Linked DNA regions of Drosophila melanogaster. The protein of the gene in region 1 interacts with the protein of each later gene in a pairwise test. Each region holds a gene or a part of one and is shown on either strand. Other genes may lie near its edges.

Region 1 (10,504 bases):
AGATAAGCGGAAAAGCGGGAAATGCCGCCAGTGTCAGTGACTCTAAATTATTATAGAAATATTTAACTGAAATTTGAAGACAAATTAAATATAGAAAACTCAGGAGGGGCATTTCGAGATTATACCGTGGAGAAAGTCACACCCGAATGGGGATATATGTATAAGTTTACACCACTCACAGCTCAAATTGCAAGTGACTTACATGCTCACAGCTACAATTCTTTGCAAAAAAAAATAATTTTTTATTAATATCTAACCATATTTTGAGAACCAAGTCCAAAAGTATGTCAAAGGTGTATCTCCCATTTCCTTTCTAGTTCGTATTTCTTTTTCGACATATTTCCGAATATTTCACTGCATCACGAAACATATCATTTAACTGTCCATTTGGAACAATTTTAAATATAAATAAGCCCAACTATTTAAGTAATGGCGGGGATTTCGCAAATATTGTGGAGCACATCCGCCATAAAATCTGAATGGCTTCATCTGCGGTCAGCTATTTAATAGAACACCATGCCTAGATTTAAAGTCCTGATAACAGACACTAATTCGCCCTCGTGGACTTTGTTTTTTGTTTTTTGATTTCAGTGACAGCAACGAGATGACCATCAAAGCGATCAAGGCCCGTCAAATCTACGACTCCCGTGGCAACCCCACCGTGGAGGTCGACCTGACCACCGAGCTGGGACTCTTCCGAGCCGCCGTGCCCTCCGGCGCCTCCACTGGCGTCCACGAGGCCCTGGAGCTGCGCGACAACGACAAGGCCAACTACCATGGCAAGTCGGTGCTGAAGGCCGTGGGCCATGTGAACGACACCCTGGGACCCGAGCTGATCAAGGCCAATCTGGATGTGGTTGACCAGGCGTCCATTGACAACTTCATGATCAAGTTGGACGGCACCGAGAACAAGAGCAAGTTCGGAGCCAACGCCATCCTGGGCGTTTCCCTGGCCGTGGCCAAGGCTGGAGCCGCCAAGAAGGGCGTGCCGCTGTACAAACACATTGCCGATCTGGCTGGCAACAAGGAGATCATCCTGCCGGTGCCCGCTTTCAACGTGATCAACGGCGGCAGCCACGCCGGCAACAAGCTGGCCATGCAGGAGTTCATGATCCTGCCCACCGGCGCCACCAGCTTCACAGAGGCCATGAAGATGGGCTCCGAGGTGTACCACCACCTGAAGAATGTGATCAAGGCCAAGTTCGGTCTGGACGCCACCGCTGTGGGCGATGAGGGCGGCTTCGCCCCCAACATCCAGTCCAACAAGGAGGCTCTGAACCTGATCAGCGATGCCATCGCCAAGGCCGGATACACCGGCAAGATCGAGATCGGCATGGACGTGGCCGCCTCCGAGTTCTACAAGGATGGCCAGTACGATCTGGACTTCAAGAACGAGAAGAGCGACAAGTCGCAGTGGCTGCCCGCCGACAAGCTGGCCAACCTGTACCAGGAGTTTATTAAGGACTTCCCCATCGTCTCGATTGAGGATCCCTTTGACCAGGACCACTGGGAGGCCTGGTCCAACCTGACCGGCTGCACCGACATCCAGATCGTGGGCGATGATCTGACCGTGACCAACCCCAAGCGTATTGCCACCGCCGTGGAGAAGAAGGCCTGCAACTGCCTGCTCCTGAAGGTCAACCAGATCGGCACCGTCACCGAGTCCATTGCCGCCCATCTGCTGGCCAAGAAGAACGGCTGGGGCACCATGGTCTCCCACCGTTCCGGTGAGACCGAGGACTCGTTCATCGGTGACCTGGTCGTCGGTCTGTCCACCGGCCAGATCAAGACCGGAGCTCCATGCCGCTCGGAGCGTCTGGCCAAGTACAACCAGATCCTGCGCATCGAGGAGGAGATCGGCGCTGGCGTCAAGTTCGCCGGCAAGTCGTTCAGGAAGCCGCAGTAAGCGCAGGGCACTTCGAAATTCCAACCACACCAGCCCCATCGAATGAGATCTGGATCTTGGAGAGGGAGCTGGACGCAGTAGATCCATGGAAAGGCGGCGGTGCACGTGTTCGTCAACCTTTTACGTTCGGAACTTGTGTCTGGCGCACAAATACATCAGAATTAAACTACCAAACCCATTTGCTGTCTCTATGCTTCGTTCTTAGACATTATTAATTAATGCTAAACCTTGATCTAATCATTATTTATAAACAAAAGAATAAAAAACACTATGTGCAAGATATTCGTTCAGTTGCCGAGAGCTTTGAATATCTTCAATGTAATCGCTGTAATCGTTATGAAATTATAAATTGATCTACACAAACACCAAATCCACAAACAGACAAGTTATTCACTTCAAAAACGGTTATGAAACAATTGTTGAGACATAGAATTTAAGCGAAAGCTGTTGGAATATTCTTATCGAATATACACGGTGTTCAATAGAGATCTTAATCAGATGGAATAGTACACCAAATATTAAACATATTCAGATTTGTTAGTTGATGTGAAATAAAAAGTATAAAAGTTACTGAATTCTTTTCTTCGATCACTTGTGGCGTTGCCAGATAATCAAGTAAACTCAAGTAAGGGCAACTAAAGTAAAGGCAACTATCTTAAAACATTTTCTGGATTTGGATTAAGATTGAATGGATCTGAATTATTCATTATCTCTGAACTGATGAATGAAGTTATTAAACTTTGAATACGATCTTTTTTCTATCTTTATCTTTGCTTTCCACCAATTAGTCGAGTATTTCAATAAGCTTTTTCAACTTTCTGTGAATAAAATTGAATTTCTAGGGTGGACCAAAATGGCGCTCAAAGTTTCGCACAGAACCGTTGAATTCCCCAGTTTGTTGGTATTTTTTAGGTCGTTTCTTGGCGCCTCGCAGCGGCGGTATGCTTCCACAGTCGCAGTGCGGTCACTCTCACGGACGTGTTTTTTTACATCGGATCGAAAATAAATTAATGCAAAGCTAAATCACAAACGCTAGGGATCGGCGAGCTCGAAATCGAATCAGTGCACCGGCCGACCGACGGACTTTAACTGCGCGCAAGCTAACCGTAGGTTAAGTTAACGCTCAGCACTGCAACCACTGCAGTTGCATAACCGTTGCCGAAAATCAAGTCGAAAAGTCGGAGAATCGCGGCCAAGCGAAAGCCCCAAAAGTTCAAAGGACAATAGAAAGTGGCAAGAGGAAGAGAGGAGAGCGTGCTAAGAGCCCCTCCCCCTGGGGCCCCGCCCCCCACACCTCCGCCCACAAAGTGCCTTAACAATATAGTGCGTTTTGCCAAAGTTAAAACCAAGTGCGCGTCCAAGTAGCCGCCCATTTCGGTGGAGCCTATTCCGGAACTGGGAAGACAACGAAGATGGCCCAGAACACGGCCGACACTCTCATCCACCTGATCGCCGGCGGGTAAGTCTGCCTGCCTGACATTCTCCCTACTGCGTCTTATCGCAGGTCAGGCCATCAGCGTAGAACGAAACCGGTTTGCTCCCGGCCTCTAATTGTAATTGCTCGGCGGGAACGGCGCAATTGGCGATTAGATTTGGGCTGGCCCACGAAGGGGAGCTGAACTATTTTGGCGCCACTGCCAAAAGGGAGCAAACCGAAAAAGAAATGCGGCCAGCGCAGGGAAACACACAACACAAACTGATCTTCGGGAAACATGCTACGTTCACGTGCTTTGCATTAAAAGAAGGGTATTTGTTGTTCGATAAATCGCAGCTAAAGTGAGCGAAATACGCAGAACATATGTAATTAATTAAAGCGCGCCTGCAGCGAACAAACATTCATAAACAGCGCATTTCTGGGTTCATTTTCCGCAGGCAATGTCCACTTGGATTCATTCCGATTCCCCTGGACAGGCAATTGCTTTGTTGTTGTTTCCCTTATGGACTTTTATTGTGGCTTTTATATGCGGCTATTTTTAGACGCGTCGCATCTGAATTTATTTTTGTTTTCACCTGCACCCTACACACACAATGGCCGGCACATTAGTTCTTCCACATTAGTTTGCCCAGCGGAAAACCAGTTTCCAGCGATCGAGAATCGATCCCAAGTCGAGCCCCTGGTCAGTCGGGAAACGATCGCATTTCAATTGAATTACGCTCGAAATACGAACTTTGTTATTTATGCTTGACAGCTCTCAGCTTTAAATAGTTTATTTTTGTTGATATTTATATTTGGGATAGTAAACAAGTGTTTATAGAGTTTGTTTATAAAGTATCTCCTAGTCCATGATAGTTTTTCCACAGAAAATATTTGCTATACTTCGCTCCTTATGACTGCAATCCAGATTTCCACTTTATAAAAACAACAGCTCACCGTTTCTGACAACTTTTGATCGACGCGGGTGGCCTTGGTGAAGGCCTTTGATAGCATGACCCCCCACCTATAATAATTCCGCTGAATGGCACTTCTAATGCCCCGCCACAGTGGCAATCAAGTCTCTCCGGGCAATTTGCCGGCCGGCAGTGCAAGTCCACTTATCAGCGGGGGAAAAAAGCAACCACACAGTTGTGGCACCCACCCATGTCCGTATGTATCCATGTCCGTATGTATCCGTGTCCGTATCTAACGAGTCGCTGCACATATGCGTAGTATATACTTTAGTGGGCTGGAAATACGCTGCACGTTGCAACCTGAGCTGGCTAATACCCCAGTTGTTCTGGCCGCCTTCCACTTGTCGTCGCTTGCCGGGTATCTCGTGTTGGTACACGTTGCGAAAACAAATCGAAAGGCGTAACAACCTTGCCTCCCCGCCACACAATGCTATCGCAGCAAGTAAGCCGCACGGCAAACAATCAAACGACATCCATCTAATCGGGCATCAGAGGCCTCCAAGGGGCTTACATAAGTTGAAGAGGGGCAGTGCACATTACTATTAAGGAACTGCACAGCTAACATTGTTCTAAGATCGGAAAACAGTTTACTTTATTTATAATTTATATCCATTTGTAGCTTAGTGTTTATAGTGAAATATTTCCTACTATCGCCAATTAGCAGCGTTGCGAAATGTCTGATCTATTCCCTAAAATCTTTGATTTGGCACACTAATATTGCGGATTTCGCTATAGCCCACATATAATATAGAATATATGATATAAAATAGATGGTGCATTGTATTTTCCTACATACTAGCTAAAAACAATTCTAAATTGAGCTTGGCAAGCGATTTCGAATTTGTTTTGGTTCTCAGCGAGACAGCACAGGCAAATAAACTTTTTCTGGGACACTGACTCAGTTGAAGGCGAGTGGGGAATGCAACAAACAACAGATCCCAAGGTGTTCGATGAGGTTTTTGGGGGGATAATAGCAATGTCACTATGGCTACAAGGTGCACATTGCTCTTTCGATTCCTCGTCTGCAGTTCAAATAAGATATAGTAACGCGCTTTCTCACATAGTTTCATTATTCCAAACTTTTCCATCGGCTGGCATTTGTTTGTATCTTGCTCGACCAGGTCAAAATATTCAAAAAAAAAAAAAAAAGTATATTCCTCGCCCGGTTTTCAGACGTGTCTCTCTGCACGTACGCATATTTTGAAAAGAGCACCTTTTTTGAAAGGTTGCAATAAGCATAAGAAAGTCACTTCAATGGAAATGGTATATTTTAATCTTTGAACTTTCGATATGATATTAAGATTTATTGTAAAGCCCATTGGCGCACTGAAATTGTGTCAAGGGCGTCTTTTTTTATAACACTCTTGATCTAGACACACATTCTGATATTTCAGAATATATATATATATATATTTATACGGAAGCGAGAAATGCGAATGAAAATTCGGTGATCATATAGAAGATCGCGTGCCAAGAGTTATTCGAAATTAATAGGAAAACATTATTATTCTAGTCTAGAATTAGAGAGCACAGAGCTCGTTCGTAACCCTCGATTCCTTTGACCCATAAACAATAACATTGAAAACTTTCCATAGATTTCGTAATCCATCTCAAAGAAGCCAAAGGCAGCAGGAGCCAAAGAAAAAACGTGAAAATAAAAGCGGCATTGATAAGATGGGAGCCTAGGTCTGCGAAATGCCAAAACCATTGAAAATGGCGTACTATATTTGCGTTGATAAGGAAAGGCTTCCCGAAAAGTTGTCTTTATCAGTCGTCTATGTGTGTATAATGTGTGTGTGTGTGGGGGGCTGCCCTTCCTCGAGCAGTTGGACAAAAGTCACCCCAGCAGAGCTGACGCATTGCCGCCCAGCGGTATTATCACTCAACTCCCCTTCTGTATTTACGTATCCCCCATAGACGATGTCTGCGGGTCCAAAATTTCCGCTCTTATCTCGGCAACGTGTGTGTTTTTTCGGCAGGAATGTCAAGGAACAGATAAATCGCACATTAACTGGTTGCAAATGGCACGATTCTCGCACATGCGTCGCCAAAGGCCATCGATCGGGCATAGCTAAGTGCATATATATAGATCTGAATATATGTGTGATCGGACTGAACGTACTTGGATGCAGTTGTAAACCTTACTAATTGGGCCACAGAGAAACTAAGTACTTGACCCAATATTTATTGAGGGATTTATTTGCGAATGAACTTATACTGCGAGCTACTTTGTGGAGCTATTAATCTCAGCTCACAAGCATGACTGGCACTCTTGCCTGATTTATTGCTAAATGGTATAGCTATAGGATACCCTCTAATATTCATACCCCTCAATTCTAGTTCATCACATGCAAGTGGTGAATCGATTCATTAATCGTTCCACTGAATTGTTTGTCCAACTGTCTGGGTAAATTACCTTCGGCTCACGTGGAATGGGTAGCAGTTAGCTTAATTCTCGCGTGATGTGCCAGCCAGATGCTAATTGGAACCCGTTAGTGCATTGATCAAATGCGTATCATGGTGGTTGGGCTGGAGCGATGAAGGGAAGCTCTATCCAGATGAAGTGACCAAAAGGCAGCATATGGCATGTTAATTGGCCGCAGGTTCCGCAGGCCGCAAAGCCATTATGTCACAGTCATTATGCATACCAGATTCGAGGTGGATCGGGCAGCCATAGAAGTGCTCCGTTCTGTGCCCGGTGGACGTGGCTCACAGATAGACTCCCTGGCTGATAAGAGGCTGCTTTTGTCCGGTCAGTGCAATTCATTCGCTGGCAGGCATCAAAGGTTATCGAGCGTGGAGCCGGGTCAATTCGCAACCAGTTCGCACCGGATTTGAATAGCCGGGAATCGCAGCAATCTCCTACAGATTTGCGAAATCAAACGAGGCAGACGTCTGATTAAATGTTGTTATTTTTACTATTTTATTGCTCCAGGATTAGGGGAGCCATTCGTGTCTGTGCCCAAAGTATCTGTGCCCATCGATCAAACTTCTGGCCTCCTTTCTCTGTCATTTCATTTCCACTTCTGAGTTGCATAACCTTTTCCCCTTTCGCGAGCTTTTAGCCGCCGATTATGTGTACATAGCTATTTAATTTCACAATTCCCAGTTGCCAACTACTGATTCACAAGTTGGCGATCACGAGCTATGCTTCTGCAAACATGTGCTCATACAATATATTTCTAGATAGCAAACTTACCCTATTGATAAAAAGCTATCTTTTTGGGAAAGGTCGTGTATAATTAATTTTTTGGGGCACTCTTTTGCCGCCGTGTAAACATTAATTATTAATCTTTTGCGAAACGAAAGTCAAGGTTACGGTGGCATTAGCTAGTTCAGTGATAAATAGTCTAAATTCTGACTGCTGCAAATCATTTCTTCACACATTTCATTTGCATCTTCTTAGGCCATTTCGCAGTTCAGTAAACAATCGACCGACCTTGCGTTACATGCACTTGGAATTTGCAACGCATCGAATTGGAAAATATTCTGTAATTCGCTCGGCTACTTGGTGGACAACGGCTCCTCCTTCTTTCATGCCCGCTCCTACGTGATTTTCCCAGCCCAAAACCCCTCCATTGCATCAGGCATTTGGCAAAACGCTACTCATTTCCGATGCAGCCAATCAATGGTGGCCACCACTTAAGTCGAAATGGAATGGAATGGGACAAGCTACTCGAGTGGTGGTGCTATACTATACTATACTATATGCACGGAATGGAAGCACATTTTTAGCCGGCGTATTGCGCAAATCCAAGAAATACGAGTTTGGGAAATAGATATTTTTCTGCCCGCTTGATTGCCAAATGAGATTTATTTTCGTGTTATTCATAGTTGAGCACTTGCCATTGAAAATGGGGAGGAATATATGTACTTTTTTTTTTGTTCTATTTAAGTCTTTCAGGCAATTTAAGAAACGTCAAAGTCAAAGAACTAAAAGAATTGATAGTGGGAAATGTAACTTTTGTGATTTATTCCTGCTTGGATGAGGATTTCGAAGAGATTTTACTAACTGGGCATGTTTTGATGTTTCATTTTCATCCGCACAGATCCGCTGGCACAGTGGGTGCCGTTGTCACATGCCCCCTGGAGGTGGTGAAGACTCGCCTGCAGAGCTCCACGGCGTTCATGACGCCGTCGCGGCTGGCGGAGAATGCCGGAGGAGGACCGGCGAACGGTGGCCAATCGGAGCTGCTGCGGCCGGAACAACGACGTAAGCTAAGCACAACGATATTACGTAACAGATCACAGCCACAGGTGATTGGGGGTGTGCGTAGGGTAGTACCAACTTCTTTTACCTATTCTCTCATCGCCCATCTAACCCACCGCCACTGCATCCTAACAAGCTAAGCCCACGAAATGGAGTGGTCTCGAACAACTTCGATGCGTCGTTGCCTTCATCTCCATTGCCTCTAGTCTGGATGCGACTGGTTTACTAACTCACCTGTTTTTGCCTTGCAGATCATGGCCATTTCACACTGCGGCATCTCATCCACAACGCCCAAATCCATGAGCATCGTGCAGTGCCTGCGGTAAGTTCACCCTAGCTTCCATCAACTGCCAGTTACTATAATGCATCGAGCTGCTCCTGCAGGCACATTGTCCAGAACGAGGGTCCACGCGCCCTGTTCAAGGGTCTGGGTCCGAATCTCGTGGGCGTGGCCCCATCCCGTGCCATTTACTTCTGCACCTACTCGCAAACCAAAAACACGCTCAACAGTCTGGGGTAAGTCTGGTTTTGGTACACTGTGTGTACATCTAGCCGAGCAGCACCAAATTAATGCCTGGACTTGATCCCCAGCTTTGTTGAACGTGACTCGCCACTGGTGCACATCATGAGTGCAGCGAGTGCCGGCTTTGTCTCCTCCACGGCAACGAATCCCATTTGGTTTGTGAAGACGCGAATGCAGCTGGACTACAACTCCAAGGTGCAGATGACCGTGAGGCAGTGCATCGAGAGGGTGTACGCCCAGGGAGGCGTGGCGGCCTTCTACAAGGGCATCACGGCCAGCTACTTTGGAATCTGCGAGACGATGGTGCACTTTGTCATCTACGAGTTTATCAAGTCCAAGTTGGTAAGTAGTTGAATTTAATGCGCACTAGTTTCCCTCCGACTTAAAATCGCTTTCACAAACAGCTAGAGCAGCGAAATCAGCGGCATACGGACACCAAGGGATCCCGCGACTTTCTGGAGTTCATGATGGCTGGCGCTGTTTCCAAAACCATCGCCTCCTGCATCGCCTATCCCCACGAAGTGGCACGCACTCGTCTGCGGGAGGAGGGCAACAAATACAACTCCTTCTGGCAGACCCTGCACACTGTTTGGAAGGAGGAGGGCAGAGCAGGACTCTACAGGTGGGTAAAATAGATGAGCAGAGTGAATTTTCAATTTGATACGACATTAAGGCAATCAACTTGTACTTAGGGATTCCCTTGTTCGTGTAGTTCCCTTGAATCCGTCTTGAAATAGAATCGAAGGGAATCCCACTTGCACTCCGACATGTATATAAGAAACATATACATATAAGCTAATGAATTATCATAATGTGCCACCCACGAATTCGTGAAATCTATTTAAATTCTTTTGCGTCGCATATTTTTTGTTTGTTTACCTTAATTTGATTATCACTCTCGAGCGTGCTCACTCGAGGTGTTTTATATATGAGAGCTCTACCTTAGCAAATTCTCCTACTAATTGTAAACTTTACCAACTATTTCCACAGAGGCTTGGCCACGCAGCTGGTGCGACAGATTCCCAACACGGCGATCATGATGGCCACCTATGAGGCGGTCGTCTATGTGCTCACGCGGCGCTTCAACAACAAATCGAACGAGTTCTACGACTTTTAGATGCCTTTCAAAGGACTGGAGAAGGAGTAACCCAATCTGTGCATATGTAGACGCGACTGCTGCAACTTTATGTAATTTTATCCCTCGTTTTTAAACGATCCAAACCAACGAGCGCAAATTCTTAGTTAACTAGCTTCTAAGTCAGATATGAAACGAACTCGATAGACTTAAGACGTTAGACGTTGAACGTTGGCCAACCAATCGAAAAAAAAAAAGAAGCAAACAAAGAAAAAACCAATAATGGGAAACACGCACCAGGATCGAAGTGCACCATCCACACCCTAAACCCACTTGCTGCATGCCACAGAAGGATGTGGTATGCCACCGCAGGGCGAAACGTTATCAAAATTTGAAAAGGCT
Region 2 (6,718 bases), on another chromosome or scaffold:
ATTTTAAAAGGGACTAGTCGCAACGAGGGGATTATGACATGTTGTGGTTCACACGCTCCGAACTGGGAACGGAAAACGGGATGGGAATCGGATGGCATAAGTATGGGTATGCCATGGCAATGGGCATGGCCATCGGTATGGGGGATCTAATGAGGCCGTGACCTCATTCAGGCAGCAAGTCCTTGCCGGATCGCAGGTTCCCACACTGCACAACAATCGGAGTTAGCTGCCATAACTAGTTAGGCCAGCTCAGCTACGAATCGGGTTTTAATTTTCTTCATATATATATTTTGTGCCCGAAACTCGTGCCAATCGCGTGTGCACCGCACGCTTGCGCACCAGAGATCTCTCGACGCGACTTGACTCTGTTGCCTTTGGCCGCTATTAATCTTGGCTGAAACACCACCAGCACTTCCCTTACCCCACCAGCCCGCGCACTTTTGCCCCCAATCAGCGTCTAGGCTTTGAACTGCACGTTTGCCAAATTGAAAGCGACTGACTTGGCAACACGGACACCGGCTGAGACTCCAACTCGTAGCGCGACTTCCAAGCCAGCACCGACTCCAACTGCGATTGCGATTGCAGCTCCAACAGAGGCCAGCTTGTGCCTGGGCTTGTGCCTTTCAGCAACGGACTCTGGTAGTCGTTAGGCGATTCATACTCTCTCTTATATGGGTCTTTGGGACATATGAACATAGATTCAGGAAGATATGACTTTCATGATATGCTAGGAAACTGCTGTTATAATATTAATATTAAATATCATATGTTTACTTAAAATTTTTTAATTTACAGACTAGTACTAGTTATCTTAATGGGGACTTAATGTAATTTATTATATCTCTCAAGAGCATTGGCAATTCGCTAATCGATGACCCGTCAAGACTGCCTTTACCCATCAGCAACTATTTGGCTTTTAAGCTTTTGGTTCACACGACTGGCGATGGCAACAAGTTTTGTGCAAAACTATATATACATCGGCAGACAAACAGACGGGCATATATGACAAGCAATTAGTGTGCATTGAGGTTAGTCGAAAATGGTTTTGCGGTCTCTCTATTTCTGTCCATCGGTGTCTGCGTGATTATTTTGCATATTCGCATTACTCATACGCCACGTGTGCCGGTCGAGTTGAAAGTTGAGGCATCTTGAAAGGCGAACCATCGAAATGCCTTGAGAGTCTTAATTGTTATGGCTCCAGTCAGCAGAAAGGCAAGCCAAGTCAAGCCAAACGGCTAACGGAAGTCATGGCCAGAAGACAAACAAACAGAGCGATTCTGCAGCATCATGGGAAATGCTTAGCCAGGCAAAAAGCACGGCCACAAAAAATAACTCCGAGGCGTCCAACCACAAGTGTCATATTGCTGCGATGGTGATAAAGTCGGCCCAACAGCAGCTGTGAAAAAAGGGGCATAAAAAACAGGCAACATTTTATACACTCAGTGCTGACCAGTAGCCCTGAGATCAGCGAATTAAAAGAAATATGTGGAGGACGGGCGAAAAACGAATCTTAGAACGACAACCGGATGTTAAAGTTTATTACGAAAGGCGACAAATGCCGAAGGGTTGGTAATCGGACTATGCAAAAAGAGTTTTATTTCTTTCATTTTGGAACCCCCAATGCGCCGAGATAGCGAAACTGTTACACTTAATCGATACGCTTCAACGAAAAGTCAACCCACAGCCCCAGCCATAGTGGTGGTTGTGCACTGTGAGAAATATTTGAAAACTTAAAAAAAAAAACTGATTACATTTGAATTCGGTTATAAGTAAAATATCAAAATATATATATTTTCCATTCTTCCGAAATGGGGTGATCTATATTTATTGGTAATTAACATAGTTGCTGTTATTGAAATTGTTTCAAATCTACTTTAAACTCCCAAAAAGACCGCACATTTTGTCCACGTGCAGTTGTCGCAGTCATCATCATCAGCCAAGCATGCGACATAATTGCGCGAGTTAAGGCTGCCCCTCCACCCAGCCATCCCTCACCAGTTCGCCCACTGCCCCCCATTGGCGGCTGACAGTCAACCCGCTTGAAATCAACCAGCAGCAACAGCAACAACATTTCAGCAATCCATCGGATCGCATCACAATCCAGCCATCCGTCCAACGTGTGGGAAACACACGACAAATCTGTTTCCCACGGTCTCGTAAAGTAGGCACACCGCACACACACACAAACACCCATCCCCATCCACTGAGCCATGGGACCCACAATCACATAGGCTACTGCCTCGTAGGCTCCCTCGTGTCTCATTCTCATTGTTGGTGTGAGCGGTACGGAGCAGCGGACTTCGACAGCGAATGGGAGCCGAGCACTGTCATCATTGACAATAAGTATGACATGGATGAGGGGGGATGGAGGGCGGGGTGGAGCGGCCTGAGAGACACGCGCAGTCGCCGAGAATGAGATCCAATCCGAAAGCCGACTGTCGACTGCCGACTGCTCAGTTTCCCTCTGGCCATGCAATCAATTGAAGACGACGCGCGCCAGAGCACCAAAGCTGCAGATACAGATACATTTGTATCTGCGGCGGGGCACGCTCTCGCTCGCTCCCATTGCATGCACCTTGGTTCGAAGTCGACTAGTTTCGGTTAATAATACTAATTTTGGACTAATAGTATTACTTTCAATAAGCAGATTTTACGAAAATAATTGCAGTTTTATTAACTTTGTAAGTGATTAATATTTTTTGAAATTGCTTTCTTTCAGGTCTTAAAATTTAGCAAATTTTTAAATCGTCCTTTTGGTTGAACAATTATGTTGCATACTTTTGAGAGTCATATAAAAAATAGTTGTAGCAAAATATAAAGAACACAAATTTAACACTATTGGAAATGAAAAATATTGATATTATATTCGCATTGCTAAAATGGATTATTTCTTATTTTTTATAATAAGCATAATTAAGAAGGTAAAGAGTTCCATGGTGATGGTCCCACTGTACCCCCTGCAGACGGTACAACCCCCATCATCGATGGCCTACAGTAGCCTCTCTTTGTGCCGCTGCCGAGCGCCGCTACCGATCCGCGACCGAAAAGAACCGAAGTGGAACTCGATCTTGGGCCCGAGTGCCTGGGAGCGTGTGTGAGTGATCATGCGGGAGCTTTGTGGCCGGGAGAGCCTGATCCCCGTTTGCCGGGAGAGCGTGGCTGTCATATAAAAGTAGGGCTGGGAACTAGTTTGCCACTCATTTCGTAAAAGTGCCGCCACTCGAACGCACCGCAATCGGTGGAACGCGCAACGCACGCGCAACAAACTCGTCAAAAAGTAACCAATCTATGAAACCAACCAAAATCAGTAGTGATAATGTGCAGTTGAGAGACTAAATACAAAAGAACAATCCTTAAAATACACAACATAAAACAACCCAATCGATCATGGTCATGGAGATGTCCAAGACGTATCAGTACCGCAAGGTGATGAAGCCGCTGCTGGAGCGCAAACGGCGAGCCAGGATCAACAAGTGTCTGGACGATCTCAAGGATCTGATGGTGGAGTGCCTGCAGCAGGAGGGCGAGCACGTCACCCGGCTGGAGAAGGCGGATATCCTGGAGTTGACCGTGGATCACATGAGGAAACTCAAGCAGCGGGGTGGTCTTTCGCTGCAGGGAGTAGTGGCTGGTGTTGGCAGCCCACCCACCTCAACCAGTACCGCCCACGTGGAGTCCTTTCGCTCCGGCTATGTGCATGCTGCCGATCAGATTACCCAGGTCCTGCTGCAGACACAGCAAACCGATGAGATTGGGCGCAAGATAATGAAATTCCTATCGACGCGACTAATTGAGCTGCAGACGCAGTTGCTCCAGCAGCAGCAGCAACAGCAACAACACCAGCAGCAGCAAATACCGCAATCATCAGGCCGCCTAGCCTTCCCGCTGCTGGGAGGATATGGACCGGCAGCCGCCGCTGCCGCCATTAGTTACAGCTCCTTCCTGACCAGCAAGGACGAACTGATCGATGTGACATCCGTCGATGGCAATGCGTTATCCGAGACGGCGTCGGTTAGCTCGCAGGAGTCCGGCGCCTCTGAGCCCGTCTGGAGGCCCTGGTAATTGGGCGTGCCCAATATGGATCTTATCCCTAATATTATAATCGCAACCCAAAAAAATGGCTATTGACCGTTCTGCAACAAGATCCGTTGTCTTCCAAAGTAAATCATATCAACCTAAGTTAATTGAGGTCTAATCGATTTCTGAATGGTTTTGAAATACTTTTAGTTTTAGTTCCGATAATGGTAATTTGTAAATTAATTGTTTAATTTCAACTGTGATATAACTAAAGTACGTTGATCAATCAATCAGTGAATATATATTCGAGTGCGCTATTTTCCTACTCCAAAAGTTCCCTAAGTTTAATATCTCGTTGCGCTCTCTTTATTGTTTAGCATATATTAAGCTTTAAATAATTTATAAATGTTAATTTATGATTAGTTGAGAAAGAATAATCAAAAATACACTACCCAAATAAAATAAATGATTTAAATTGAAAACACAATGTTTTTCTTTTGCGGGATTTCAAAATTTTATAAAATATTTATTTTGTTATATTAATAAATATAAACAAACTGAACGATATTATGCAAACCTAACGGAATACTGTTCATTCTTGTCCCAGTCCGCCAATGTTGTTTACTGCCCCAATAAATTACCTTTAATTGAACATCACCTCAAATGTATGCAACACATTTTCGACTCGACCCTGATTCATTCCCATAAGCAGATCATCTAATTGGAGCCTGTTCTTACCACCAATCTGATCGGCAATCAACAGATCCTCTCTACCTGCCCGATAACTGGTTGGCATTGTGGTCCAAATCAACAGGCCAAACAACAACCGTCAATATGCACTACCTGCTGGCAGGTAAATTGATCAACAATAAGACCAAAAAAGGTTCAGGATCGAATCGGATTAGGGTCCGCTCGTTTTTCAAATGAGTCATGCCAATTAAGAAAGGACTTCGCTCCCCATTTATTTTCTGTGTTGATTTGTAAACGGAAAATTGTTGGAACAATAAGGGGGAAACAAAGAATTTAGATTCCTATTCAATTATTTTTTTTTTGGGTGAAATGTAACACAATTTTTGGTAAAGATTACCAATTTCCAAATGTGTGATTTAAGAGAAGGCCCATTTCATACGATTTATCAATGATTAAAAGTAAAAAAAACAGTGGTTGATTTCATTTAAATTGTATATATATTTTGATTTTTTTGTGTTTGTTAAGTAAAATGTATCACAATTTTTGTAAAGCTCTTCAGTTGAGTTGATCGGCTTGCGTGTTAATTTTTGTGGAATGGTTTCAAAAATTAACGGAAGACGTTGATTAAAGCTGGAGATCCAATGGAAGACATAGTTGCCGGATGATGGATGCAGGTTGCAGGACGCTGATATTTTTTAGGCCTGAACCCAACGATCCTGGGGGATAGCGATGGCGTTGGAGGTGCTGCAGTAGAGGGGCTCGACGAGGTCGTTGTCGGCTGGCAAATCGGAGACGGCGGTCCAGAAGAATGTGCCGTGAGCGGTGCGGACGAAGTGAACGGGAACGGTGGGCAGTTGCTCGAAGTCGTAGTCCTCAATTTCGCAGGACTGGGAGAGACGCTCGTTGGCCTCGTTCTCGCAGGACTCCAGAGAGGCGCAGATGGAGGCGGATTCCAGATCGGCGTTGCGGCTGTTTTCCATGGATTCCAGAGACTCCAAAGAGTTGGCCTTGAGGGCGTTCTTGAGGTTCTGCTCCTCCTCGACGCGCTGTTGCTGCTTGAAGATCTTCTGCAGCAGTTTCTTCACGCTGTAGGACAGCTTCTTGTTCGATTTGATGGTCATGGTGTTGTTGGTGTTGATCTTGTTCTGGCACATGATGATGTGTTTTGGAATTTTGTGTTTAGCTGCTGTGTAGCTGAGATGTGTACTGTACGAAGCGTTGAGCTCGAATGATGCCTGATCCTCCGAGCCAGGGTCCTTTTATACTCGCCAGGACGTGGAGAAACCCGAAGCCGAGCAGGTCACAAAACACCGAGTGTGGGAAACTACAAGGATACGTGTCCCGAAAAATCCTATACACAGTGCGGATACATGGCGAGGCAACAACAAAAACGGCAGGTGTGTTTTTCGAAAAGGGACTGCATCGGCATTAACCTGCGTGCGTCGGAGTGTGACGGCATGTAGTGTCGCTCCGCTCGCACCTGTTGAAGGTGCGGGCAATTTTATCCTGCTGCAGGATCGTGAGAAACGAGACTTTCTACCAGTTCCCACAGTTTCGGTTCGAAAGGATCCTTTTTGACAAGGAGATTCGTTTTTTTCCCTTTTTCTGCCGATCACTTTTGGTTTTTATGTGCACTTATCTCATTATGTAGGCAGTGCGAGCGGGACGGACAATGATGGAGCCGGGGGGCGGGGGAAATCCGTTTTCCATTTCTCGAACACGTGTGCAGCTCGAGAACGTGGGAGAATATTTTCAATTTTCAACGCTCGAACGGAGGCGAACAATTAATGCCCGAAACCAGAAGATAAAATAGCTCAATAGGCAAACAATCCGTAGAATTTGATGGAGTAGGGGGCACACAGATCCCAGACGAGGGACCAGGAATCCTTAACTGCGAGCATTTAATGCGCTGTAATTTGAAATTTATCAAATTGTATGTGGAGGCGAGGCGTTGCCCGAAGGAGCGAGATGGCAAAGGAGCTGGAGGACAAGGATCGTCGACGAAGGAGTT

The links.
Region 2: the proteins of Rim2 (region 1) and E(spl)m3-HLH interact in a two-hybrid assay, tested with the Drosophila melanogaster proteins (one large-scale study listed by BioGRID).

What each region holds. Positions count from the first base shown.
Region 1 is NT_033779.5:1,716,743-1,727,246, reverse strand, and holds Rim2 (replication in mitochondria 2), read left to right. Parts: upstream 1-2,858; 5' UTR 2,859-3,318; coding exon 3,319-3,365; intron 3,366-8,343; coding exon 8,344-8,572; intron 8,573-8,755; coding exon 8,756-8,826; intron 8,827-8,888; coding exon 8,889-9,020; intron 9,021-9,095; coding exon 9,096-9,369; intron 9,370-9,431; coding exon 9,432-9,649; intron 9,650-10,017; coding exon 10,018-10,144; 3' UTR 10,145-10,348; downstream 10,349-10,504. Other genes in the region: Eno (enolase), read left to right, coding at 592-1,906.
Region 2 is NT_033777.3:26,018,633-26,025,350, forward strand, and holds E(spl)m3-HLH (enhancer of split m3, helix-loop-helix), read left to right. Parts: upstream 1-3,190; 5' UTR 3,191-3,387; coding exon 3,388-4,062; 3' UTR 4,063-4,495; downstream 4,496-6,718. Other genes in the region: E(spl)m4-BFM (enhancer of split m4, bearded family member), read right to left, coding at 5,403-5,861.